Arabidopsis thaliana: one gene and its partners. The protein of the gene in region 1 purifies or fractionates together with the protein of each later gene. This does not show direct contact. Each region holds a gene or a part of one and is shown in the gene's direction. Other genes may lie near its edges. The genes, in order: ECHIA, AT1G33670, AT1G33600 and AT1G30580.

Evidence for each region.
Region 2: the proteins of ECHIA (region 1) and AT1G33670 fractionate together in Arabidopsis thaliana (co-fractionation; one large-scale study listed by BioGRID). This does not show direct contact.
Region 3: the proteins of ECHIA (region 1) and AT1G33600 fractionate together in Arabidopsis thaliana (co-fractionation; one large-scale study listed by BioGRID). This does not show direct contact.
Region 4: the proteins of ECHIA (region 1) and AT1G30580 fractionate together in Arabidopsis thaliana (co-fractionation; one large-scale study listed by BioGRID). This does not show direct contact.

The regions. Positions count from the first base shown.
Region 1 is NC_003075.7:9,175,964-9,180,136, reverse strand, and holds ECHIA (enoyl-CoA hydratase/isomerase A), read left to right. Parts: upstream 1-1,997; 5' UTR 1,998-2,158; coding exon 2,159-2,568; intron 2,569-2,807; coding exon 2,808-3,090; intron 3,091-3,168; coding exon 3,169-3,273; 3' UTR 3,274-3,571; downstream 3,572-4,173. Other genes in the region: AT4G16215 (uncharacterized protein), read left to right, coding at 304-441, 561-645, 745-893; AT4G16200 (SWAP (Suppressor-of-White-APricot)/surp domain-containing protein), read right to left, coding at 3,572-3,896, 3,947-4,173. UniProt on the Arabidopsis thaliana protein: Straight-chain enoyl-CoA thioesters from C4 up to at least C16 are processed, although with decreasing catalytic rate.
Region 2 is NC_003070.9:12,200,312-12,203,947, forward strand, and holds AT1G33670 (Leucine-rich repeat (LRR) family protein), read left to right. Parts: upstream 1-1,651; coding exon 1,652-3,019; 3' UTR 3,020-3,097; downstream 3,098-3,636.
Region 3 is NC_003070.9:12,178,801-12,185,055, forward strand, and holds AT1G33600 (Leucine-rich repeat (LRR) family protein), read left to right. Parts: upstream 1-1,975; coding exon 1,976-3,412; 3' UTR 3,413-3,422; exon of another isoform or gene 3,423-3,800; intron 3,801-5,399; exon of another isoform or gene 5,400-5,407; 3' UTR 5,408-5,728; downstream 5,729-6,255. Other genes in the region: AT1G33590 (Leucine-rich repeat (LRR) family protein), read left to right, coding at 1-421.
Region 4 is NC_003070.9:10,831,123-10,837,561, reverse strand, and holds AT1G30580 (GTP binding protein), read left to right. Parts: upstream 1-1,926; 5' UTR 1,927-2,107; coding exon 2,108-2,194; intron 2,195-2,527; coding exon 2,528-2,695; intron 2,696-2,798; coding exon 2,799-2,922; intron 2,923-3,249; coding exon 3,250-3,341; intron 3,342-3,502; coding exon 3,503-3,601; intron 3,602-3,700; coding exon 3,701-3,814; intron 3,815-4,132; coding exon 4,133-4,197; intron 4,198-4,356; coding exon 4,357-4,473; intron 4,474-4,580; coding exon 4,581-4,656; intron 4,657-4,850; coding exon 4,851-4,943; intron 4,944-5,263; coding exon 5,264-5,314; intron 5,315-5,510; coding exon 5,511-5,609; 3' UTR 5,610-5,889; downstream 5,890-6,439. Other genes in the region: AT1G30590 (RNA polymerase I specific transcription initiation factor RRN3 protein), read left to right, coding at 1-80, 190-273, 367-454, 642-755, 868-1,052, 1,322-1,586; HERK2 (hercules receptor kinase 2), read right to left, coding at 6,080-6,439. UniProt on the Arabidopsis thaliana protein: Hydrolyzes ATP, and can also hydrolyze GTP with lower efficiency. Has lower affinity for GTP. Exhibits GTPase activity.

The DNA.
Region 1 (4,173 bases):
CCTGTGACTTTTGCCGGCGGTGTGAGAGGGCTTCCCCCCTTTTCTTTTTCGTTGTCTTGTCTATTAGTTTAGAAATAAGGTCGACTCTTTGCTCCTTTCTCCGGAGGCTAAGGTGAAGCTCAACGACGACGGTGTGACGATGCGGAGGCAGTAGGTAGAGGAGAGAGCTCTCGGCTCGATCCTTATCCAGGAGACTGGTGGGGTTCGGAGCTGCTCCGAGCAGCTGTTTCGATCCCTGTATCCCCCAGGAGAACCAAGCCGACGGATGAACAGAGGCAGAGTCAGAGTCTTCCAGGCGTGGGGATGGAGCTGTGGTCGCCGGTGGCCGAGATAATCCGGAGATCTAGTGAACCGTCTCAATGTCTGGTCCAGTCCGGCGATGGAGCGAGGCAACAAGGCATGTGCGGCGAGATCGTTCCGGCAATGCACCGTTTAGGTGAGGTCTTACTAATCCGGGCTCCAATGTGTTATCCTTAATCGATTAGTAGCTTACGGTTGATTGGTTAGCTCGGGAAAAGCTCTAGCCTTGCTGGTTTGCCTTGTATCATTGGTCGGGTCAGTCGGATATATGGTCCGCTTTTGGTTTAGGACCGGAACAACGAAAGCCGGGGATATTGAGTCTTTCTGATGATGCGTCTCCGGGTGGTAATGCTATTGGGACATGGATTACATTCTGATCAATAGGGACTAATAGTATGGATTTACTTTGTACTTCAGACTAGGTTTTGGTCTCTTCCGTTTTAGTAGTTGTTCTCGTGTCGCTTAGAGTCTGTGTAGGTGGTCAAAGAGATGATAATATTCTGATTTGTGGAGTATTATCTATCTCATTGTGGTTTAAAAATGCAATGGTTCCTCGATCAGGTAGCGCTGGATCCGATAGTGTTTCAGCGTGATACTAGATCAAACCATTGCATTTGGGTCCAATTTGATAGAGGAGAATGTTATGTACCTTCAATTGGATGTAATCATTTGATAAATGAAAGTTGATGTTGAGCAAAAAAAAAAAAAAAAAAAAAGAAAAAAAATACAATACTATATGTTTGTTTGTAACATGTTAATAGATAGTAGTATTAAATAGAGTAGTAAACAACAAAAGAAGCAAGAGGTGGATTTTAAATTAACAAAACAACTTGTTATCAAGATAAGACTATACACATTAATTGTTTCATGATGATAATAGTAATTAATAGTCAATAAAACGTGTTATTAAATAATAGAAGCTCCCATGAAACATGCACTATCGGTTACTTGTAGAAGTAATACAAACCGTTGACGTGGTAGACGATTGTAATTCGTTATCTTTGACCTAACGTATAATGGTGATTAAAACTAATGCTTGATAAATTAACGGATAGTGGTGTTAGCTGGTATCCTCCAAAGGAGGTTGAACCCAATGTCTTTAGTTTGAACTTTTGCTATGAAAGGTCTCAACTTTTCTGATAATAGAACAAACGGGTTAAAAAGTTGACATCGGCAAAGTAAATTACTGATCTTGGTCCGACCTTCTTTTAAAAGATTAAACAAATAAATATTTGCAATTGTGAACATATTAATGGTGAAACGAATTACTTCTATAAAAATAATTGCATGATGAATGAAGCATCTTCTCTCCTTTTCATGGGGCAATGTTTCAAGGAGTTTCAGATCAAGGTTTTGTACCAAGTGGATGTGTCTTTCACTAGTTGAGATCAGATCATTGACGTTTTTAACTTACTCTAACTATTTTTAGTAATTGTATAGAGCTCAAACGTTTTGTGGTGAACCTTATACTTTAACAGAAGATTGTTTTTTAAAACACATTAACGAGTCTGTGCACACAAAAAAAAAAATAAAAAAAAATTAACGAGTCTATTATGCAAATGGTGCATAAAAGTTTTTTAACAAAACCATTTATTAACAGATGAACAGAAATCAGACCGGTTCGATCCGGTTTACTCATGGTTTGTGTTTGTACTTTCTCCACTTGCCGTTTTCATGTTTGAGAAACAAAATACGCAGCGTCTAAAATAGAAGCAAAAAACGGGACGTTGTTTACTAACAACGACAAAACAATGGCACACTTACCCAAGTTCTTCGTCATCTCTTCCTGATTGACTCTATTTAAAAACCCGATCGGAAAATTCGAAATCCGTTCAATTGTAATCGGAATCGTCGAAAAATGGATCAAACAGTATCGGAAAATCTCATTCAGGTGAAGAAAGAATCAGGCGGGATCGCCGTCATCACAATCAACCGTCCGAAATCTCTCAATTCACTCACGAGAGCGATGATGGTTGATCTCGCCAAGGCATTCAAGGATATGGACTCCGACGAATCGGTCCAGGTCGTGATTTTCACCGGATCAGGTCGATCTTTCTGCTCTGGCGTTGATTTGACTGCGGCGGAGTCTGTTTTCAAAGGAGACGTGAAGGATCCGGAAACCGACCCGGTTGTGCAGATGGAGCGGTTACGTAAACCGATCATCGGAGCTATTAACGGTTTTGCCATCACCGCCGGGTTTGAACTCGCCTTGGCCTGTGATATTTTGGTCGCTTCTAGAGGAGCTAAGTTCATGGATACTCACGCCAGGTTGATTTCTTCTCTTACGACGTCGTTTGCATAGTTATCAATAGCACTGGTATCTAGCAATTAGGTCAAATATAGTTGCAGATTTTAGCTTTGGATCATAGAAAATCATGTTGTTTCAAGCTCTACTCAATTCAACATCTTAAAATTCAATCTCATTTGTTTATGCTCTCAAAATTTTGTTGCCTTGAGATGAATGTTTTTGATGATATGAATGTGAATCCTCTGTTTTGTGTTTGAAGGTTTGGGATATTTCCTTCATGGGGTTTGTCTCAGAAGCTGTCGAGGATCATCGGAGCAAACAAAGCTCGAGAAGTTTCTTTAACATCGATGCCACTGACAGCAGACGTGGCTGGGAAGTTAGGGTTTGTAAACCATGTGGTTGAAGAAGGAGAAGCGTTAAAGAAAGCTAGAGAAATCGCAGAGGCTATAATCAAGAATGAACAAGGCATGGTTCTGAGGATTAAATCCGTTATCAATGATGGACTTAAGCTTGATCTTGGGCATGCTCTCACACTAGAAAAGGTTAAACATTCTGCCATTTTTAACTTGTTGATCAATTTGTGATTGTGAGAAAGTCTAAAACTGTTGTTGAAATCGTAGGAGCGAGCTCACGCGTATTACAGTGGGATGACGAAGGAACAGTTTAGAAAGATGCAGGAGTTTATAGCCGGACGTGGATCCAAGAAACCTTCTTCTAAGTTGTAGACAGTTTCTCTATGGATCTTAAAATAATACTTACTACTTTGTACCATTTCTTAATTTACATTTTGATTAGTGTCTTACAATAAGAATATCTTTGTTTGTTTCAAATCAAGTATGTAGTCTAAGATACGTATCTCTCAGCTTTAGACATATGTTGGTAAAATTTATGGAATTGATAACTGTATCAGGATTATAAGTCCAAAGCTTTAGAAACAAACAATATTAAGTGAATAAAATGCATGCTTGTTCTAGCCTGCACAAGCATTGTCCATCTCTCTGTCTCAGACCACGACGTGCAGTATTAGGATATCTCCTCCTCTGACATTGTAATGAGCAAGTGACCTATTACTGTATAAGCAGCACGACCCCTCAGCTTATCTTTCAAATATTTGGGTGGATTTAATACTTGCGAATACGCAACAACAAACTCGTTGTAAAAAGAGAACCTGTAATCAGTTGCCTTCATAAACTCAAACTGAGGTTCCGTCATCACTCTTTCCATCAGAAACCCTCTAAAATCATCCCCATACCATGCCACAAACTGCGCTGTGACCTTAACGGTGTCAAGTTCCTCGAATGTCATCTCTTTAACAAGTCTAAACTGTAAAAGATTAGGCAGGACCAATCTTTGAGACTGAAGACTGAATTGAGACTGAGGAGGAGGATAGGGCTCAACTTTGGTGTAGCTTCACGGTGATACTTAGAAATGGATTCAGCAAGCTTGTGCTGGTAATATGCGTCGCGAGGATCTAATGAGTACTCATCAAGCTTTTGCTTGTACAATACGTTATAAGGATCTTCAGAGCTTTTCAGGAAGTTAAATCTTGCATCATCTGTATTAGAGTCCTTAACCATCATCTCAAACTCCGACCCGAATTGAGAAACCAAACATGATGTTGTCTC
Region 2 (3,636 bases), on another chromosome or scaffold:
GATTGAATTGAAACTAGTACTAAACGAACACAAAATGAAGATCATCATCATCAGAATCATCACACTACTACGAAATTCACTGATTCTACTAAATTGCTAAGAGATTGATTACTATAAATGGATCAACAAAGAAACCCGAAGAAAGGGGTTTGTGATTCCTAACCTTATTTTGCTTAATCACAAGGATTTGTAATCAAGATTCAATTCCACAATTATGTTCTGAATAATCGGAAGAGAATTATGAAGTAAACGAAACAACCGATGAATCAAAAACAAACTTGAAATCGATCAGAATTGGGTTTATTATATACCTGATTGTTTGCGTAATATCGGAGGGTTTAAACCGAGTCAATCACACGCTCCTCTTGACGGCGGTGACAAGGATTTCCTCCCCAATTTCGTTTCTCATCCCCAGATTCATCACCGGCTGGAGCCGAAACAAGTTGATTCCGAAGAATTTGATAATTTGAATTGTAGAGACGAAGTATTTTTTGAGTCGGTGATGAAATGAATGGAACCAGAAAATTATATTTGTAGTGAGTGTTCTAAAGCTAGTTGATACGAAAATACTAAAATACCCCGTTTTATTCCGTTAGACCCATTTGGATTTGGATTTGAATTATAATTTTCCCCCTAATTTGAAAATTTTAGTCCGTTAAAACTTAAAACAAAAATTCAAATTACATATTACTTATGGTTGGATGTGCACTTTACTTAATTTGAGAATACTACCACGAGTGAGTTCATTAAGAAATTCTTAAGTATTACAACCCTTACCTTCATTCTAACGAGAACACAAAGCAATAACGAACACAATAACAATTAGATGATTCATTTTTTGGATCTAGAATATTTCTTAAAGTACAATGAATCCAAAAGCTTAATGTTCATAAGCCAACAAATAAATTTGAACAAAAATATAAACCAAAAATGAACCTATGGCGGGAGGAGCATTTCCTGTCGAAAACTAAGGTTAATCAGTAATATAATGATCAATCCTTTCTCTCTCTCAAACTAAGATTCAAAAAGCTCCAATGGAGTAACCTGAAAGACAAGAAGCGCATAAGAAAATTGGTTGAGGAAATGAATCATAAGAAGTAAATCGATTAGACAGACCATTATAGAGATTCTGCGACTATCTCTTAAACAAACCAACGTCTTAAATCTCTAAACTCACACTTAAACAATATGAAAACAACCTCTCCAATACTCTGATAACAAACCATGCCTCAAAATCGTGTTGCTTGTATTCTACGGAACAGGCATTATACTATTATAAGATCAAAATATATTGAACAAAATCTCGCAGCTTAATTTAATACTTAAAAAATCACAGGTCAATAAGATATACAAGAGGGATTACCAATATCACGCTTACCATTCCAATGACATGTGGTCAAGTCTTAAGATCGAGATTCACATTGATATCAGATCTCTTTATTTTGTTAATTAAGGTCTATATCATGGAGTATCTCTTTTACCGACAGAGAGTTGATTAAGCCTGTCATGGGAATATAAAATGATAATTGTCATGCTGTAATTACGGACACCACTAACTATGCAAGAAAAAACACGTTTGAAAATGAATAGAAATGAAATCAGACCTCGAGTCGACGACACTTCAGTCACTTCTCTCATTCAACAAAACACCATGAACTCTTGTTCCTTCCCTCTCTTCCTCTTTGTTATCTTTCTCCGGTGTTTAAGTTCCACGGGAGCTGCCACATGTCATCCTGATGACAAAGCGGGTCTTTTAGCTTTCAAATCGGGTATAACCCAAGATCCTTCGGGTATTCTCAGCTCATGGCAGAAAGATATTGACTGCTGCTCCTGGTACGGTATCTTTTGCCTCCCTACGATTCATGGCGACCGCGTCACCATGATGGCATTAGACGGAAATACGGATGTTGGTGAAACCTTTCTCTCCGGCACTATCTCACCGTTGCTCGCCAAACTCCATCACCTCAACGAGATTCGCCTCACCAATCTTCGAAAGATCACTGGATCTTTTCCCCACTTCCTCTTCAAATTACCAAAGCTAAGGACTGTTTACTTAGAGAATAACCGTCTCTCTGGTCCCCTTCCTGCCAACATCGGTGCACTAAGTAATTTGGAAATTTTGAGTGTGGCGGGAAACCGGTTCAGCGGTTCGATCCCAAGTTCGATGTCTAAGTTAACTAGCTTACTCCAACTCAAGCTCAACGGTAACCGCCTTTCTGGCATCTTCCCAGACATATTCAAATCCATGCGGCAACTTCGATTTCTTGATCTCTCCAGCAACAGATTCTCTGGAAACCTTCCTTCATCGATTGCATCTCTTGCACCGACTCTTTCTACCCTTGAGGTGGGCCATAACAAGCTATCGGGGACTATCCCGGACTATTTATCGAGATTCGAGCTTCTCTCCGCATTAAATCTCTCTAGGAATGGGTACACAGGGGTCGTGCCGATGAGTTTTGCCAATCTGACCAACATTATCTTTCTTGATCTCTCCCACAATCTGCTTACCGGTCCATTCCCTGTCTTGAACTCATTAGGCATCGAATATCTACATCTTTCGTACAACCGATTTCACCTTGAAACAATCCCCGAATGGGTGACCTTGTCGAAGTTCATCTACTCATTGAAGCTTGCAAAATGTGGGATCAAAATGAGCTTAGACCATTGGATGCCAGCAGACACCTCTTTCTACCATCACATTGATTTTTCGGAAAACGAGATCTCAGGGAGTCCAATAAGGTTTTTTAACCAGATGGATTTTATGGTGGAGTTCCATGCACCGGGGAACAAACTCCAGTTCGACTTGGGGAAGCTAAAGTTTGGAATCTTCTTGAAAACCCTGGATTTGTCAAGGAACTTGGTATTTGGGAAGGTACCGGTGACGGTGACCAGACTGCAGACACTAAACTTGAGTCAAAACCATCTTTGCGGAAAGCTTCCATCGACAAAGTTCCCGGCTAGTGCTTTTGTCGATAACAAGTGTCTTTGCGGCTTTCCACTTTCTCCTTGTAAAGCTTAGGGACAAGAAAAGCACAGTTTTGTATTTGGATTTATTATGACACGTAGCTCCAAATAAAATTTGTGTGACTATAATAAAGTGATTTAAAGATCCCAATGCCAATAAGCTCCATTACAACTATAGTGAATGTTAGTGAAAGTATGATTTCAACCCTTATGCACTATTTCCATGCAGTCGTTATGTTGGTACAAAATTGAGGATCTGAAGGCATTTGAAAGGTCACCAAACAGTCTCTCTGAGAAACATGAAGCGAAGAAATTCATATTTAGTCAATAGAACCACTGAGCCGGACAATGATTACCTCAACATGATACGAAATGATTAAATTTAATGAGTAGTAGTAGTATTCTAATACAAATGTTCCGATTTATGTAACGTTGGCTTGTATTAATGATGCATATGTTATGCTTGAGTGTTCTTATAAATTTGGTCGAACACTTGAAATGTAAACGGATCAGATCTTGTATTTAATTGTGCATGGGCTAAATTAAATACTTCTCTTTTACCTTTTTTGCCAATGAAAAGTTGAATAATAGTAAGGTCCGATAGGCCCATTAAAAAGCCCACAAACCCTTTAATCAGCTATATTCCCATTCCACTGCTCCCAAGTCGTCACC
Region 3 (6,255 bases), on another chromosome or scaffold:
GACTTCGTCGCCGATCATCTTCTCGTTGAAGCTAGCAAAATGCGGGATCAAGATGAGCTTAGACGATTGGAAGCCAGCGCAAACATTCTACTATGATTTCATCGATCTGTCGGAAAACGAGATCACAGGGAGTCCAGCAAGGTTCTTGAACCAAACAGAGTATCTAGTGGAGTTCAAGGCAGCGGGTAACAAACTACGATTCGATATGGGGAAGCTAACGTTTGCAAAGACGCTGACAACTTTAGATATATCAAGGAACTTGGTATTTGGGAAGGTGCCGGCAATGGTGGCTGGACTAAAGACATTGAACGTGAGTCACAACCATCTTTGTGGAAAGCTTCCAGTAACAAAGTTCCCGGCCAGTGCGTTTGTGGGTAATGACTGTCTTTGCGGCTCTCCTCTTTCTCCTTGTAAAGCTTAAGCGGCAAGAAAGCTACAACTGGTAGTTGGATATTTACCGTGACCAATAAAGTTTAGCTCCAAATAAAATTTGTATTAAAAAGATTACAACAAATAAAGTAGTTTTATGTTATGAAGAAGCTTCATTCTAACAATATGTATTAGTGAAAGTACTCAAAGTAGTATTTAAGTTCTCAACTATTATGCATTTTTTATATAGCAGCTAAAATATTACTTTAACATGATAGAAAAATGATTTTAAAAAATAGAAGGAAAAACAGAGTAGTATTCTGATACAACATGCTCCAATTTATGTAACTTTTGCTTATATATTAAACTGATTATGTAGTATGCAACTCTTGGCTAATCTGTTCTCAATTCAGAATAGTCGCAACAAATGATGCAGTAAATAATCTATGTTTACTGGAATTTAACTCGCTCTATACAAAAAAAGAAAGAAAGTTATAGTGATATCTTATTTAGAACTATGCGTAATTTATTATTCTTCAGTGTTCTATAATTGGTTAACAAAAACCTAGTGATGAAAACAAGAGGAGTCCTTACTAGATAGATGCATATAACTTCATCACTACAAAATTTATTTGATCACAAATAACACATACCAAACAACAAACCAAGTAATCGATATATACTAGTATCAAACCTCTTTTTTCTCTTTACATACACATAACACAAGGTCATCCACAGGACATATAGCGTCTGCATTGAGGAATTAGACCATCTCTGAAGTAGGTTTCAACTTAGTATTGTTTTTTTTTTTGTCTAAAACACTAAAGTTCGATTAGACTAATGCATCCATATTCAATGAGACAAAGACATAGTAAACCAACCTAGAAAAATTATTCAAAAACTATACAAAAAAAGATAGTTTGAGTAATTGGTTCTTCCAAAACAAGACTAATGCATGCAGCATCTTAAAACTTCACCACCATAAACGAAAATTGAGTAATTGGTTCTTCCAAAACAAGCTAAGATTCCACTATAATTTCTTACGATAAACAAATAGATAAAGCTACTTATGTTAATGTTGGATTACGCTAAGAAAATTAAGGCATGAATCTATCGGCCCATCTCGAGGCCAACTTAGTCCACAATCTGGATCATTGTACTTAGATATATTTGACTTTTATTTTGTGGTCAATAATGTACATATTGTTAGACAAAAATAACATGTTAATAAATATTTTTTTTTTTTCAAAAATAACGTACATTTTGAGAAAACATAAATGAAATTTCTTTCCAAACTAAGTTTCATAATAGCCCAAAATATTATTTAAACATGATAGAAAACAATTGTAATTTGACAACAAAGTTCTAGAAAAATAAGATACATAAATCCTTTATCTATAATCATCAAAATATTATAAAAATCTGATGAAAGAAACTGTCTCTTTCGAGGGGTTGAGAGATAATAAATTCGACAACGATTACGGATATTACCACAACTTATTGCCACCACATGAACATGAATTGGTCAAAATCGGCAGCTCTTGATTCAACGTTTTCCTTCTATTAATAGCGACCAATTGTGTCTTTCAATCAACACAACTCAACCATGAACTCTTGTTGCTTCCCTCTCTTCATCTTTGCATTCGTTATCTTTCTCCGGTGTTTAAGTCCCATTGAAGCTGCCACGTGTCATCCTGATGACGAGGCGGGTCTTTTAGCTTTTAAATCGGGTATAACTCAAGATCCTACGGGTATTCTCAGCTCTTGGAAGAAAGGTACTGACTGCTGTTCATGGAAGGGTGTCGGTTGTCTCACCAACCGCGTCACCGGACTCACTATCAACGGACAATCTGATGTTACTGGAAGCTTTCTTTCTGGCACTATCTCGCCGTCATTGGCCAAACTCCAACACCTTGTTGGTATTTACTTCACCAATCTTCGAAACATCACTGGTTCTTTTCCTCAATTCCTTTTCCAATTACCAAATGTAAAACAAGTCTACTTCACGAATAGCCGTCTCTCCGGTCCTCTTCCAGCTAACATTGGTGCGCTAAGCGAGTTAGGAGAACTAAGTCTCGACGGAAACCTGTTTACTGGTCCGATCCCGAGTTCCATTTCCAATTTAACCCGGTTATATCTGCTCAATCTTGGAGATAATCTCTTAACCGGAACTATACCTTTAGGTCTTGCTAATCTCAAGATCTTGTTGTCACTCAACTTTGGCAACAATCGTCTCTCTGAAACCATACCGGATATTTTCAAATCCATGCAGAAGCTCCAATCTCTAACCCTCTCCCGCAACAAATTCTCTGGAAATCTTCCTCCGTCCATTGCATCACTCAAACCAATTCTCAATTACCTCGATCTAAGCCAGAATAATCTCTCTGGGACAATCCCGACCTTTTTATCAAACTTCAAGGTACTAGACTCATTGGATCTTTCTAGAAATAGGTTCTCTGGGGTTGTTCCGAAGAGTTTAGCCAATATGCCTAAACTTTTCCATCTCAATCTCTCCCACAATTTTCTAACTGGTCCACTCCCTGCCATGAAGAACGTTGATGGCCTTGCCACTCTAGATCTTTCATACAACCAATTTCACCTCAAAACGATACCGAAATGGGTGACCTCGTCGCCGTCCATGTACTCGTTGAAGCTGGTAAAATGCGGGATCAATATGAGCTTAGACAATTGGAAGCCAGTGAGACCCAATATTTACTTTTACATCGATCTGTCAGAAAACGAGATCTCAGGGAGTCTAACATGGTTCTTCAACCTAGCGCATAACCTATATGAGTTTCAAGCGTCAGGGAACAAACTTCGATTCGACATGGGGAAGCTGAATTTAAGTGAGAGACTAGAAAGCCTCGATCTATCAAGGAATTTGATATTTGGGAAGGTACCAATGACCGTGGCTAAACTGCAAAAATTGAACTTGAGTCATAACCATCTTTGTGGAAAGCTTCCAGTGACTAAATTCCCGGCCAGCGCGTTTGTCGGTAATGACTGTCTCTGCGGCTCTCCGCTTTCTCCTTGTAAAATTTAGCGGCAAAAAGGTACAATTTTGTAGTTGAGTACTGTAACACATAGCTCTGAATAAGATTTGTAATAACAAAATTAGCCTACTCGGCTACGCCATACATGGACATGATTTTTATTTTTTTTACTGGAATAGAAAATAACAAAATATTTAAGGGGAAAATCACATTTTAAACCTAACACTGAGCAGCACTTTAAACCTCAAGATATTTTCACTAGCATTATAAACCTCCAAATTAATTAAACTAACACTCTAGATCTCCAAATTAACATTTTTTGTTTGTACAGCCCTAAAAGATAACAGAACAGAACACTAACTAACAGAACATTAACAGAAGTTACAGAATAATGAACTTTTGTCAGTTAAAAGAAAAAGTAAAACATGTTTAGAAAAAATAATATTATGACCACTTACCATAATTTGTGATTTTTTTGTTTAAAAAAAACCTTATAATATTTAAGAAATTTGATAATACAGTACATAGCCATGTAAATATAAATCATGTTGATGTTTTAACAAATTATTGATCGGTTATTCTCAATTTCCAACATTAATTTGATTACTTTGTGGGCAGTCTAATCATTGGTGAGCTAAATATCTAAAATCTAGACAGACAAAATAATATCACATATAAACCAATAGTTTGATACATTCACTCTCGGTACCTACCCTACATCCAAGAAGTAATGAAGATCTTGGGAATAAATGTTCCATTAGAATCATGAAACTGGTGACTTTGTAGACAAGAAAACTAGAGTTATTTGTGTAATAATATGAAATATTAAAACTGTAGACACACTGAGATTTGCCTTATTATTCAAAGCTATAAAAACAAATGGATCTCGATGAACGCTACGGCATTCATAAGAGAGGTAGCATGCATCTTAAATGTCACTACCATAAACTGAAAACTGAACAAATCGATTTTCGAGAACAATCTAAATTTTCACTTTCTTAGTTCTTACAATAGGCAAATAGATAAAGCTACTAATGTTAGATTATGCTAAGAAAATAAAGCATAATGTTTACCTGACCATCTTGAGGCCAACTTATTTTCACTGTCTAGATCATTGCACTTAGATCGTTCTAAATCTAAACAGTCAAATCTTTCACTTCTAATTTAAGGTCAATAACGAACATTTTGTTGGACAGATTAAAATAACGTGTTGAAAAAAGTAAGACGAAAATAACGTACATAACTAGATTATAACCCGCGGTACACCGCGGAGACAATTTGTTTTTAAAATTAGTATATATAAGAGTCTGCAAATTATATTTATCTATAAAATATTTACATTTTATAGTTTACAATTGTTATTAAGTAATATCCTTCCAAACTCGTTCCACCAAACCCGTCCCGTTAAAAAAATCTGCGATACACCGCTAATTTAAATAAATATTTTACGGGATTGCAATTATATTTTAGTTTGTCAAACAAATTTTTTTTTTAAATGGTTGTCGAAATCTAGTTCAAATATTGGAGAAATAAGATTTAGTGAACTGATAGGAAATGTATTTAGGTGCGTTTTGCTCATTTTAAGGGATTGCAATTGTATTTTGGTTTGTCAAATATTTTTTGTTTTAAATAGTTTCCGAAATCTAGTTTAAATTTTGGAGAAATTTGCGTGATATATGGGATTATAATATATTTGGAATATTTTTTGTTTGTTAATCAATTTATTGCCAAAAGAAAACCAATAATTAAAAGGCAATGGCAGGTATTGTAAATAAGTTCGAACTCCAGGATTTATTTCACAAAATGGCTGCAAAAATGTATATATAGATGTTAGAGAAAAATCAAAATGGTTATTTTTCCTAACTAAATTCCATAATAAAAATAAAATTTTATTTAAATTTGATAGAAAGAAATACTAATAAGACAGTGGAAAAAAACTATATGACTTATGAGTTTTAATACAATGTAACAACAAAATTCTAGAAAAAGAAGATATGTTAAACCATTTATATAATAATCTGATGAAAGACACTGTCTCTTTCAAGGGATCCAGAGATGCTAAACTCAACAACGATCACGGATTATACCACCACGTAATGCCACCACATGCATATGACTTGGTCAAAATCGTCAGCGCTAGAGTCGATGACTTTCCTTCTATTAATAGCTACCACGAATGCTTCTCTCAATCAACAAAAACACACCATTAACTTAAGACATCAAGAAGCTCCACTACATGTAACAACGATAATCAATACGTATTATTGTATTAGTGAAAGTAGTATTTCAACCCTCCGACATTGTTTTCCATATACGCGAAATGTTACTACTAAAGTGAACGGCGAGGACTTCGGAAAAGATACTCGTATTTCCGTTTATGTATTTAACTTTTACAAAATTAACAGAAATTATCCAAATTTTCTACTTTTTTTTAAATACCCAAACTTTACAAAATACACATAACAGTTAGTCAAATTAATGAGTATAAGAATTAAATTTACTTACCTGGATTTTCTGATCCCGCGTGACCAGAATTTCTTGAACCGGTCCCTCGATCCAAAAATCCCGTCTGATTTTATCGGATATAATTAGTCAAGTCAGTCCATCGTCTGGATTAAGTCTGGACATAATAAGTGAACCGAAAGAATTGAACTGGAACCGAAGAAAAAAGAACCAAACTGAACTCAGACCAATTGTAAAATATTCAAATAGGTCCAAAATTCTAGAACCGAAAAAGATTATAATCAAACCCGAACCAAACCAAAATATTTTGGATACTCAAAAATATCCAATTATATATCCAAAATATTAGTTATTTTTAGATCGAATAACCAAACATATACAAAATACCAAAATATACTTGGAAAATATATTTACAAATATCAAAATATTT
Region 4 (6,439 bases), on another chromosome or scaffold:
GATCCTGAAAATTGTGGTGTGAGATTTGCCAGTAAGCTGTTGGACATATATCTCTCCAGCAACACATGTCGACTTACTAGGCGAGTTTAATCTTGTCCTTCTTGGTAAAGATTTCTCTGCATGATATGAAGCTAATATTGTTCTAATCACCACTTGTGTATTCTTTTGTTTTCTCTTTATACTTAACAGGATGAGTGCAGTGGCTTATCTAGCTAGCTATTTGTCTCGTGGAAAGTTTTTGCCTGCTTCTTTTGTGGCTAGCATGTTGAAAAGGTACGTATTGCTAAAAAATGGAAAATGTAATTGTTTGATCTGATTTAAGTCTCGCTTTGTTGTAACATAGTTTCTCTTTTGCTGAAATCCTAGATTGGTGGACGAGTGTGCGGAATATTGCGGAACATGCAATGATGATGTGAAGCCAGAAGCACATCAAGTGTTCTATTCTGGATGTCAGGTATAGTCCAAGTTTAAGACCATCTTATGGCTTTTGATTCCTTAAGAACTCTTCTGTGAAATCATTGACGTCTCTAGTTATCAATCATTGTTAATGTTCACACCCTTACCAGAAGCTTATTGGCGTTTGGGATCATATGCTATTATGTCATGTATCGCTTAAAGTTGTTACTTTTCTATGACTGTAGGCAATCTTGTATGTGCTATGCTTCCGAATGAGATCCATAGTGGAGATTCCTCGCTTTCAATCGCAGTTTAGATCATTGGAGTCAATTTTATCTCACAAACTAAACCCACTACTGGTGGGTGACTTACACTAATCATTTTCTTCTCATAGCTCAACTGTTATTTTAAGTAGTCTTCACTCCAAGTATCAAATGCATTATGCTTGCACCATTCATTTTGTGTGAACAGGTGTGTCTTCCATCTGTAGTTTCCGAGTTCCTTAAACAAGCCAAAGCTGGTGGTCTGTTCATTGTCTCAGAATCCTTCATTTTCGATGACCTACACGAGTCTGAGCTCTCTCGTGCTTTTGGTGGCTTTGAAAGGCTTGACACATTCTTCCCGTTTGACCCGTGCTTGTTGAAAATGTCTAGCAGGTTTGCTATCTTTACTCTTGATTATTTTTTCTCTTCCAAAGTAAGGACAAATCAATGTGAGAATCTTACACAAGGTTCTTGACTCACTGGATGAATTTACCCGACCTGGGCATATTTGATACAAATTCTACTGCATACATCTTAATTACAGTCTTGAAATGACATTGAAAATTATTTTAATATGATAAAACAAGTGATGAATCAAAGTATTTGCATTGGATAGGCTTGAACTCTCTTTCTCACACGTGTTTTCTTGTCAATTCTTGAAGCTACATCTCCCCGAACTTCAACTTCTGGTCAATGGTGAAAACGACTTATGGAGAAGATGGTGACGAAGAGCTTTGTGATGAGGTCATAGTGAATGGAGATGCAGACAGTGCGGAGGAACCTGACGATGACGTTGAACTTGATAGTGAGATGAACACGATGTCTACAACTCCGAAACACTCTTTCATGCGAGAAACAGAGAGGCTCTTGAAGATGCCTTCAAGAATCAGACCATCCACTAGTCCTCCTGAATCCTTCTTAATCTAATAGTCATAGAGAGAGGGAATGCAATTTTGCAATGTAGGTTTCTTATTACAATCTCTTAGCTAGTGCGTAAACTCTAAAAAAAAGAAGTTGACATGAGTTTTGTGCGAGTCTGTGGTATTATCTGATCGCATGTGGTTTTGTAGCAAAATTTTGAAGAACATCTATGAAGTAAAATTTAGTCAGTTGGTTTATGATTACCTAATTTGAGTTTCGGTTTAATTTGGTTAAGTTGAAATGCTGAATGATTGATTTCTCGGTTTAGTGTTCAATATTGGGTTTACTTTGTCCACAAAATTGGTTAAAAATAGCTCTTTGTATTTTGGTAAATGTCCCGCAAATGGTTAAAAGTAAACCGGGAATTGACCCTCCGATTTAAACCGGTCCGTAAACCAGCTGAGCAATCTCTCTTTAACCTCGGCGTCGGCGTCTTGTAGCTTCTTCTGCTAGGCTTTGTTAATCAGCAAAAACCCTAGAATATCTTAGAGCTTCGCTTCACTTTCAAGCTCGAGACTTTGAGAAAGATGCCTCCGAAAGCCAAAGCTAAAGATGCAGGTCCCGTAGAGAGGCCTATTCTTGGCCGTTTCTCTTCTCACCTCAAGATCGGAATTGTAATTTTTCTCTTCATCTCTCTTTTAGAATCCAAGTTGATTAATTTCGAATGGTGAATGGTAGATTTGCTCATCGCAATACTTTCCTCGATAAAAGTTTTTTTTTTTTTTCTTCTTCTGAGTTTTGCCGGGAGAGATCTATTAACTCATCAGTGATGCATGATGATATTGTTTGTTTCGTTGTGTTTGTCACTGTACTCTTTTAGATGTTTAATCCATATTTAAGAAACTGCTTCTTTGATACAGTGATTAAGGTTGATTGTTCATGGTTGATATGATGATATGGAGAAGTATTGATGTTATTCACTATGGGAATTGTTTGTGGCATCGCAGGTTGGGTTACCAAATGTTGGAAAATCTACTCTTTTCAACACTCTTACAAAGCTTTCAATTCCAGCTGAGAATTTCCCCTTTTGTACCATTGAGCCTAATGAGGCACGTGTGAATATCCCCGATGAGAGGTTCGATTGGCTTTGCCAAACTTACAAGCCTAAGAGTGAGGTAAGTTTGTAACTTTATTTCATGACTTGCTGTTAAGGAAGAGATTACTACTATCTGAATTACTTTATGAATGGGCTGACTTCTGTCTGTTTTGATGCCTCAGATTCCAGCTTTCTTGGAAATTCATGACATTGCTGGGCTTGTTAGAGGAGCTCATGAAGGACAGGGTCTTGGAAACAACTTCTTGTCCCATATTCGTGCAGTTGATGGAATTTTCCATGTTTTACGTATGGTTTTTCCCTCTCGCTTTTTCTCCTAGTGCCAGCTTTGTTTTAGTGTGATGCGTGATTTGATGAATAATTTAGACTGTACTGCTACTTGTGCTGTCTTGAATTTCTACTTGAGCAGGCTTTTCAATGAGAGACAGGTTAAAAACCTTTATATATTTTTCTTCCCATTTGATACCTATAGGGCCATTGCGATAGTTAGTTTATGTTTTCCTCTCCAAGCATATCTGTTCTTGAACAACGGGGATGTTTCTTTAATAGTTGCTGATAGTAAGATATCTTGCCAGTTATATAGTGGTTAGTGACTTTTCGATTGAACATATGCAGGTGCTTTTGAAGATGCTGATATTATCCATGTCGACGATATCGTGGATCCTGTTAGAGATTTGGAGACCATTACTGAAGAGTTGCGGCTAAAGGTGAATCAAATCTCTAAACAGATATTTGACTGCTATATCTCCAAACTCGTGAAATCCTTTCTGTGTATATTAATACAGTAGTCTGTTTTTTGTATTAGTTGGATCTTCATTTCATCCATTGTTGTTTTGGTTTCAAACTGAATTCTTTGGTGCAACTTTAGGATATTGAATTTGTTGGAAAGAAGATTGATGATGTCGAGAAGAGCATGAAGAGGAGCAATGACAAGCAGCTGAAAATAGAACTTGAGCTCTTGCAAAAGGTATGCTATAATTTGACAACCATGCAGTCTTGTTCTGCAAATGTTATTGCTCATTAATTATTAATTGGCCGAAAAAATGACTGTACCTCTCTGGTTTAGGTAAAAGCTTGGCTAGAAGATGGTAAGGATGTCCGTTTTGGGGACTGGAAAACAGCTGATATCGAGATTTTGAACACTTTCCAATTGCTTTCTGCAAAGCCCGTTGTTTACTTGGTGAGTAGTCTTGAATGTTCATCTCTTTCTGTTACCATTGTTTCTATCAAGATAAATGCATTTGCTTCTTTCATATCTATAGTCGACAATTTTGTTCCCTCAATTTTTTTCGGGTCAGTTTGCAAAATGTAGGTCATACTGTCTATTTTTGTGACACTATTTGCCCCCAAATTTAACCATAGTGTGTTCCTTAGCTATTTCTGATCTCTATGCTTTCATGTTTGTTTCAACTATGTGTTTCATCTCAGTGTAAGAACTATTAAGGCATCTTGGTTGGACTTTTTGTGATCACTGGTTACTCTGAAATTTAAATTACAGATTAACCTGAATGAGAGAGACTATCAGAGGAAGAAAAACAAGTTCTTGCCAAAGATTCATGCCTGGTACTAATATATATCCTTTCACAAACTATGTTGAATAATAAGTAAAACATTTTGCCCCTTGGTTGTTGCAAAAGTTTCTAATATGGCTACGTGCTTACACATTTACTTACCTTATTATACTTCTCCTAAACTAAAAATATCTGTTTCATCATTATGTAGGGTTCAAGAACACGGTGGTGATACTATGATTCCTTTCAGTGGTGTGTTTGAAAGGAGTCTCGCTGATATGGCCCCAGATGAAGCAGCAAAGTATTGTGAGGAGAACAAACTGCAAAGGTTAGGAATAAAAGAACAGCACCTTGCGAATGAATAGTTGCTCCTGAAGATGATTTTTCTTTATGAATCTGTTAAATTGAATCTTATGGCCATTGCTGCTTTGACAGTGCTCTTCCGAGGATCATCAAAACTGGATTTTCAGCAATTAACCTCATATACTTCTTTACAGCAGGGCCTGATGAGGTATTAACAGTCCCACTTTACTTGGCTTCACTACACGCTTTAGTCTCTAGTTCTCTGTGAAATTCTTCTAAGCATAATTGTTCTGTAATGAGCTATTTGGTAGTGCATGATCAGTGTTATGTGTCAAGTAGTGCATTGTTACTGGAATTTGATGGTTTATAAAATACATCCATCAATGATACTTTGATTTGCAGGTGAAGTGCTGGCAAATAAGACGGCAGTCAAAGGCTCCTCAAGCTGCAGGGGCCATTCATACTGATTTTGAGAGAGGATTTATTTGTGCTGAGGTACCATTTTCTCATTTCTCTTGAATCTTGGTCAATTCACTAGTTTATTCCTACCTAAAATTTACATGCGTAAAGCCTTTCCCCTCCAGATTTTGATGATTTGTTCTGTTATAGAGTTTATATAATCTTTCTTATGTTTTCACTGACAAAAACAAATGCTTGCTTGCATATTCTTATATTCATCTTGGTGTTGATTTCCTAGTATCGATGCAGGCCTGTAGATATCAAAGCAGAATCCTAATGCAAACCATATCTAATCAAATATTTTTCTGTTTTGAAATTCAATGTGATTTATTCCAATGTTGTTGTTGATGTCACAGGTCATGAAATTCGAGGATCTCAAGGAACTTGGCAATGAACCTGCAGTCAAGGTATTTGTCTATAACTTCTTTTCCTTCTACAATCTCTTAAGGTCTCGGTGGAGTAAGTAGCCTCTAAAAACAGACATGAAAATGTTAAGGAAGCTCTCCACTGTGCAAGATATCCTCGTTGAAGAGGCATGATTATATTTATAATGTTCATGGCGATGACACTTGGTCTAATTTATAATCCCTTCAACTAATGCAGGCCGCAGGAAAATACAGACAGGAGGGTAAAACATATGTTGTTCAGGATGGAGATATCATTTTCTTCAAGTTCAATGTTTCCGGTGGTGGGAAGAAATGAGATCCATCCGTCTGTCCACCTATCCGCGGTGTCCTCTCTGGATCTTGAAGCTCTATCCATTTCCGAGAAAGGAACCAAGCTGTATTTTCCGTTTTTGAGTGGCTTTACCAAACAAGTATTTGTAACTCTTTACATTTTGCAGTTAGCTAAGACATGTCTTTGCCTTTAGACAGAGCATTAAGCCTGCTGTATCGTTTAGAACTCTTTCAATAAGTTTTTCTCTACTATTTGGAAAGAACCTTGAGTAATTGTGCGTGAGAATGAGTTGAAGAAACCCAGCAAACAACTTCTGGTGCACTTATTAGCGAAGGAAACAAATGGAAAGAATGATTAAACGAATACCTTAAGGAAATTATATTTGCAGTGTATATTACAAGCTCTATTACAAAAGAGCTTCTGGATAGATCACAATCAATTATAACAAAAGAACAAAAGAATTATTTTGGGACTGGCCAATCCAATTGCTTCCTCTAAGCCGAATTGTGAAGAGCAGATCCTGTTTGGCTCTGCTCAGTTTCTGAGGAATCTTGATTGGAACAAGCTGGAAGAGTAAAGCTCTCTGGTGCTTCTTCTACCGCTTGGCTGCTCGAAAACGAGTTTTCTCCATTCTGTTTGCGAAGCCAAGCTTCATGAATCTGCAAAACATACTCCAAGCTCCATAACACTTCTCCCATCATTGGCCTGTTCTTCCCTTCATCCGCTAAGCACTTCTCTGCTATCTCCCCATACTTCTCCAACGATTCAGGACTGTAGTTTCCCCTCAGATTTGAGTCGATGATGGACTCGAGGTTTCTCTGTTTTTGCCAGCTTAAAGCCCATTCCGCAAGGTT